Linked DNA regions of Canis lupus familiaris. The protein of the gene in region 1 interacts with the protein of each later gene in a biochemical or structural test. Links are inferred from orthologs where the notes say so. Each region holds a gene or a part of one and is shown on either strand. Other genes may lie near its edges. The genes, in order: AGO2 and DICER1.

Region 1 (3,817 bases):
GGCAAACCCACACGCAGGGCCCAGGATGCAAGGCTCTTCTGCTGGCGCGGCGTCCACCGAGGGCAGGGCTCGCCGGGCCCGTGCCCACGGGGCGCCTCCGCCCACGGCTCTCTGCGCGCTTCAGTGCATAGGTCCTACGGAACTCGTCTAACAGAACCGGACAGAGAGAGGGACACTCGGACACACGGACTTGTTTCCCGGGAATGGAAGAATAAATACATTCCATTTGTGCTTAATCGGCCGAGCAATGCACAGGGGGCAGGACGTGGGGTGGTGGTGAGCGGCCGCCGGGCCTGCGCTCGGTCCCCCCGAAGGTACAGGCTACGCAATCTACGCGGGGGGGAGGCGGGTGGCGGTCACATTGACTCAATTGCATACTCCTGTATGTAAGCACTGAGAACCACAGGAGGTGGTCCAGTCTCCAGAACACTCTTGATATGCGAAACAGATCACAATAAGCACCCCGAAGTCAATAAAATGAAAAAACAGCATCTATCTATCACATTAATACTGCAAACCAGATATATATATTTTTTCTCTTACATTAAAGACATAACAGTGAAAAAGGATTGTACTGTATTTATCACCACAGACCCGTATTCTTTAGAAACTTTGGAAAATAAATGTCACAGTCCTATAGGACAAATCTTATGATTAGACTGTCGGCATATTGTCTTTTTTCTTTTTTTTTTTTTAAATAAATTTTTATTAAAATGGCACTTGTCTGCCAATCTCTCTGGACCTATAAATGTTGTAAACACACATGGCCCATCCTCTGCCCCCGCTCCTTATTTCAAGCTGAGTGAAAGGCAGGCAATGGCAGGACAAGACACCCATGGGCGCCTCGGCGGGCCACCTGCCCGAGGTCCTGAAGAGCTTGCGTCAGCCCTGTCAGGAGCACACTAGTATCACTCTGACATAAAACTTTAGTGACCACCTCAGAATGCTCAAGGCTTTAAAACCACAGCCACGATCTGCGTTGCTTTCACTCTCTGAGAACGTTCACAGCTAGTTTGAGCCCACCAATTTCATAGAGAATCATGTGTTAAAAACAAGTAAATTGAATGACCAAATAAATTAAAAATGTTTTAAAGCCCTGAGTTCATAGACTGGTTTTAGGAGATTTTTAGGAAACACGGGACTCTATTTTTAATAAGCAGCTTATAGATTTTGGCAAACCATATTTCCTACGACAATGGGGTCTCATACAGGTCTGCAGTTCAAAATCCAAGTTTGAAATCTGGGACGGAAGGCATTCTGGAAAATGGAGAATCTACTAAAATCAATGACGTCTCATGTTCGATGCTGGCTGTCACGGAAGGGCTGGGCATCTGTTGGTCTGAGTGTAGCTGGTCTCATGTGAATCCAACTCGGTACACAATCGTAAACACTAAAACACGTCAAGCAAAGTACATGGTGCGCAGCGTGTCCTGATGAACCTGGACTGCCTTTGCCAACGCTTGATGGTCTCGTCCATTACTCTGCCCGGAGGTATGGCTTCCTTCGGCACTGCGGGGATGGGAGGAGAGAGAGAGTGTGCAGCCTTTAATGCACCACGAGGCAGCGTGCGGGTAACTAGGTAAGACTATGCACTAGATGTCTGGGGTGGTGGCCATGCGGCTACTGGGCGGCAGTGTCAGTGCTGGCCTCCGGGTGTCTGTGTCACAGTCGGCTCCAGCCACAGGGGCCCCACTGCTTCCCGGTCTGAACACGGAGCTTGCCAAAGCGTGTTACAGAAGTGCCCCCTGCCATGACCCCAGCCAGTTTGAAAGGCATGCCACTCACCTGTCATGTTCTTTGTCCACCAGGTGGTACCTGGCCCGGAAGGCCACCAGGTGGGCATAGTATGCTGGCGCCGGGATGGACACGGAGCGTGTGCAGCGCACATAGGTGTGACACAGCTGGTAGGTGAGAATCTGCAGCTCATCGGAAGAGAAACGATTGTCATCCCAAAGCACGTGATAGTGGGAAGGCCTGCTTGTTCCCTAAAAGCAGATCAGAGGATCAGAGGAGTCAATGTGAGAGTGAGAAATCCAGAACTCACCTACGCGAGGGCACTGCTGAGAAAAGCCACGCTTTGGTCACGGTGGGCTATGCAACCTCCGTACAGAGAACACAGTGGGACGACTCCTAAGGACAAAACACTGTGGGCCCCTCACCGACAGAGACCTTCCCTGTACGTCCTACAAAGGCGTGTGGCCGGGGACAAGGCTGCGGCCCACGAAGTGGGAAGGAGTGGACCCTGAGTCAGCACCTCCGTCACCTGCTGCCCTTCTCGTAGCAGCCCCAGGGGCCCTGTCACCGCTCACATCTCTGCTAGCTCGCTGGTCACCGGGCTCCAGGCACATGGGACACCTCTTGCACCTCACCAGCGCACCTGGCCTCTGCCCCAGCTACTTCTGACTTCATCTCATCTAAAATGGGAACCCCGACCACAGCACACCAGTGGGTCCCTGCTCCTCAGCACCCACGGTCCCAAGCCGCACCTGTTCACTGGCCACCTGCCCAAGTGCCTTGGGGACAGGCTGGGGCCCCAGCCCTGGTTCCCCTAGTGTGCCCCCAGTGCCCGCTGGGGTCTGTGTTCGGAGACACCGAGAACGTGCGGAGGGCCCCCCCACCGTCCTTACCTGGATGCCAGCGTGACTACACAGGTAGAAGTCAAACTCGGTCGGGTGGGTGATTTTCGTGTCCACAGTTGTGCCTGCTGGAATGTTTCCACTTTTCCCGACCTTCGGCAACACAGGAGCCCATTAGACACGGGGCAGCAAGGTAAAGCTAGCAATTCCGCCTCACCCACACTGCGTTCCGCTGCTGGCCCTTCCTGATCGCAGGCTGCCCGATTTCGCAGTCTACACCAGCTAATGCATTTGCTCAGCGCTACAGAACTAAGATAAAATTTAACAAACACTAACTACTAGAAGTAAGTAAGTTCCTGTCCCATGACGGCTGGGGCTATTTTCCCCATCTCGTCAAGGCCCAGAAGAGAATCGTAGTTGTCTGCCCTTCACTGAGAATCTGTGTGTAACGCTTGAAGAACTCCCCATGACTGCTGAGGTCACCGACACACAAATCTAAAACCATGCACGATGGACACCTGACAGGTCATCAGCTGTGCACAAACACACCTGCTGTTCAAGGCACAAAAGCTAGAAAACCCTGAAAGCTGTCAGGAGCTCTTGCGCCTTGTGGGTGGCTTCATCACCACCACCCAAGAGGGCATGCTTTTCCCTTAGAGACCATCGGAGAAGCAGGGGTACAGACTAGGACTGCGAATTATATCCAACCACTTCACTCTAGGCTCACATTCTAGGATGACAAAGCCAGCAGACGCCCCGCTACTACCACTGGGGAGCAACAACGCCAAAGCTCTAGAGCCCAACCTATTTTTAGTAAATCACTAGTTTTTTAGTTATACAATTTTCAAACACAAACAAAAGAGAGAATCCCCGGTATAACCCCTGTGCCCCTTTGGGTGTGTATTTTACTTCTTGCCAACCTTTTTCACACCTTCTGATTTTTTTTTAAGTAAACGATTTGAAAATAGTGCCTCCCTCTGCTTCCCTCCTATGTTGCAGTCTCAGATTTAGACTTTATCATTCCTACATATGCTTTTATTTTTCACTGCATTTTTAAGTTTCCCTTAGCACTACCTGGTGTTACTTCCCAGGTTTTAAAGTTGTGTACGTGTGTCACATATGTTCTGCTACCTGCGGTTTTGCTCAATATTTACAATTTTGAGATGTATTCATGTGATACACACAGTCTATCATATTCATTGCCGTGTAGCATGTCAGTATATGAACACATCACAACCTCT
Region 2 (3,817 bases), on another chromosome or scaffold:
CTTATTTATTGGTAGGAATTCAGTTCTCCTAGGACCATTGTGAGAGTGTGCATGCTTACTAGATCCTGAGGGAGATATAAAGAAATATGTGGCATAGTTACTCATGCTTTAATTTTATCCAGTTTAGCATTTATTTAGGAGAATGCTATTCTGGCACACAAGGCAAACAGACATCAATAAAACACAAGTCTTGTATTGAGGAGCTCATCTTTGAGGTTTTGGAGAGTGAGGAAGGGAAAGAGTAGCAGTGCTCTAGCTCAGTGACTCTTCAGTATAAAGGAAGTGATGCCAGAGCTCCAAGCAAGCAGTGCTTGAGAGGCCAAAGGAAGAGTGTGTTCTGAAACCAGTGCGAATTAAGATTTAAGGAAGAAAAGCAACAAAGTCACACTATTTAAGTGATGATAGAAGAGGTATCACAAGGCTACCTGTACCTGCTTGACAAATAACTTAGAAAGCTGCTATTTGCCCTAAACACTTAGAAGGAAGGAGTATCACATGTAATCAGAGGGCGTTGATGGAAGAGGTGGATTTATAGTGTGTAAACACAATGAACAAATGGCAGAGCGTGTTAGCACTCTGACTAGACTGTGGCAGCAGTCAGAAGTGTGGAAATACCTGAGAAAAGATTAAAAAGGCAGGTGGGTGAAGCTCTTGTGGAAAATCTTTAGTCTCACTAGGCAAAGGAGTTTGCACTTATTTTGAATGTTGAAGACACTTTAGCTCAAGAGCCTCTACTTTTTTTTTTGAGAGGGAGAGAGAGAGAGATATTGGGAGGAGGGGCAGAGGGAGAGAATCCTAGCAGGCTCCATGCCCAGTGCGGAGCCTGATGCAGGGCTCAATCTCACGACCCTGAGATCATTACCTGAGCCAAAATCAAGAATCGGCCGCTCAACCGACTATGCCACCCAGGTGCCCCATGAGTGGCTCTTAATGTTCATGAAGTGGTGGTTGTAAACGATGGCTCTGACAGCAGAGTGCAGCCTGAGTGGAAAAGCGAAACCAAACCAAGCTGAGCGATCAGTTGGGGCTTTGAATCTATGCAAGCGGAAAATGGGTTAGTTGTGGAGTTCTGGCAGTGAGGAGAGGGCTGAGGTGAGTAGTATTTCAGAGGGAATGCGAGTTGTAGCTCACAGCAAGTGCCTCCTTTAGCCAGACACTACTCTTGCCACCTTCTGTAAATTGCCTGATGTAGTTCTGTACACTTTTATTCTGTAATTTTATTTATAGTTGTATATACTTCTATTATCCATAGTTGCTAGATGAGGGTACTGAGGCAAGAGACGATCGCTTGACGCGGGTCACATGAGACTATGTGGCCGAGCCCAGAGAGTCTGGGCTTAGGGACCTAGCTCTTCACCACCACACTCCTCAATCTCCGATGTCACGCTATAGCAGCAGACACTACCTCGGGTGTTTTATAGACCTCGCATGTACAGTCTTCTGAGAGAGCCCCTGGGGGATAGACATTGTGTCTCCATTTTGCAGATGGAGAAACTCTACCCAGAGACTAATTAGTTCCTGCAAGGTTACCTAACTAATCAGAGAGTTGGGGGTGATGGAGGTGAGAGCCCATACCCTTCACCCTCCTTGCTGCCTGTCAGTGTAATGAAGGGCAGAGAGGCCTCTGATGCCAGGGTGACTGTGTGTAAGCTGGGAAATTAGGGCAATGGTGGTGCTCGTGGTGACATAGGTGTAGCGTTTTCAGACTTCGTAGAAAATGAAGTGGAATATTCACTGAAGTATTGAGATAATTTAGATAAGGTTTGGGGGAATAGTCTCTGTAAGAGTGATAATCAAACTGTCAGAACAAACGAGATTTCCATAAGGTGTAGGAAGAAAATGTCAGAGCCTGAGGATGAGTAGGAAGGAATAGTACATGTTTTCTGTTAGGTAAGAAAGAAGTTCATGTACATTTCAAAAATTTCATCTGTTTGTCTCCTGGGAAAGCTTTGACTCCTTATTTCCTGTAGAGATCGTTGTTACTCCCTCAGCCCAGTGTCAAAGGAAGGCCTTGTCTGTGCTCACACTCCAGACACGTCCTGTGTCCCGACCAAATCTAAGCCCCTGGCTAGTCTCCATATGGGCTCTGCACGTGCACACCCACTCTGTTCCTCTCCCAGTGCTCTTCCCGTTTCTGCCCAACCCATATTGCACCTCAGAGCCCTTAGCTTTTGCTTCCTGTTCCTTCCTGCCCACGATTCCATCTAACTTTGAACATGATTGCCATCTTCATCCTCTCGTTGCCTTCTGTGACACTGTGATCCCATATAGGCACAGGGATGCTGGCATTTACCAGAGCTGTTCCGATAGCATGCTGCATGTGGTGCCACGGGTAGATGCCTGTCCCTCCCAGTTGGGTCGTCTGCAGGGACTGCTCCTCAGTCTCGTGGACTCTGTTCTTTCAGGGGCACCCGACCAGGTGTTTCTCCCGTGGCAGGTGCCTGTTCAGTGGTGTTGAGCTCCCCTGGAAAAGGGGCTTATGAAGTATTTGCATAAAAAGGAACCCCATTTGTAGAAAATGAAAATGAGATTGACAGTTCTAGATCCTCATTTCCAGGTTTTCACTAGACATCTCTGGATAAAAATGTTACAGTTTGAATAAGTTAGGGAGGACATGGAGTCCATAGGAAAAACACACCAGAGGGTAAACAATGAAGCTATTTTATTGTTGTGAGTAATATTACCTTTTGCTCTGTTTTAAAATGGTTGAATAAAAATATCTTGAAATGCCATCCAAAACAAAGGAATGATATTTGAGAAAATAATTGTAATTAAAGTTATGTTTGTGGCTTAGATTCTAGGAGTATGAAATTATTTTAGCTCTGTTCAGTGCCAACTTCCACTTTATAGCCAGAGTTGTGGCATTCCCTCCCGTTTATGTCTTTGAAAATATTGTGACATCTTAGACTTTTTATGTGGATTTTTTTCTATTCTGATAGTCCCAGTTGGCAGTTTGCATTTAATATCATTAGGTTGTATTTCCAAATGTTTGAAATTGTATGAACTATTTGTTCTGACTTTGTAAGGAATTTGCATATCAGTTTTTTCTAATCTGCATTTAAAATCAGAAATTCTCATCTACACTGAAGGATGTAGAATATATGGGAATATAATATTTGCTGTCGTGAATAAATTGATGATCAGATACAATAATATGAAGAGCATTGAGCTAAAAATATGTTTATTTGCCTGGTATGAATTCCAGCAGTGATCATATGCAGATAAGCATCTTAAAATTTTTTCTGCTAAAGGTCAGCAACTGTAATCTGTATCGGCTTGGAAAAAAGAAGGGACTGCCCAGCCGCATGGTGGTATCAATATTTGATCCCCCTGTGAATTGGCTTCCTCCTGGTTATGTAGTAAACCAAGACAAAAGTAACGCAGATAAATGGGAAAAAGATGAAATGGTAAGTTTTTGGTAACTGGAAGCATTTATTTCTTGGTGAACTGGAGAATTTTGTGCTATTAACTTTTGTGTTTCCTTTCCATGGTGTATTTATAGTAGAGTAGGTATTTGGTATAGTGAATTAATTCCTTTAAATAGACCGTCTCTTCATTGAATTTTAGAAACTGTTATTTTGACGGGGAGAGGATTCTGTCTCCTTTTTTTTTTTTTTTCAGGAGCATAAATATATATGATGCTGTGACTCAAAACAAGAAAAAAAGCAAAACTCCCTTAACATTTCATTTCACTGTTATGTGTAAGAATCTGTCATCTATCCTTAGCGCTCTGTTCAGTAAGATGACTCTTCAGTAATGACTTGTGATCTTCAGTCTGTGAAATAATTTCAGTAAAGCCTTGCTCTGCAGGTCAGGG

The links.
Region 2: the proteins of AGO2 (region 1) and DICER1 form a complex in vitro, tested with the Homo sapiens proteins (2 studies listed by BioGRID and IntAct). The link is inferred for Canis lupus familiaris from reciprocal best matches to the Homo sapiens genes AGO2 and DICER1.

The regions. Positions count from the first base shown.
Region 1 is NC_049234.1:35,794,653-35,798,469, forward strand, and holds the end of AGO2 (protein argonaute-2), read right to left. Parts: intron 2,730-3,817; coding exon 2,628-2,729; intron 1,986-2,627; coding exon 1,786-1,985; intron 1,510-1,785; coding exon 1,401-1,509; 3' UTR 479-1,400; downstream 1-478.
Region 2 is NC_049229.1:64,309,085-64,312,901, reverse strand, and holds part of DICER1 (endoribonuclease Dicer), read left to right. Parts: intron 1-3,251; coding exon 3,252-3,407; intron 3,408-3,817. UniProt on the Homo sapiens protein: Double-stranded RNA (dsRNA) endoribonuclease playing a central role in short dsRNA-mediated post-transcriptional gene silencing.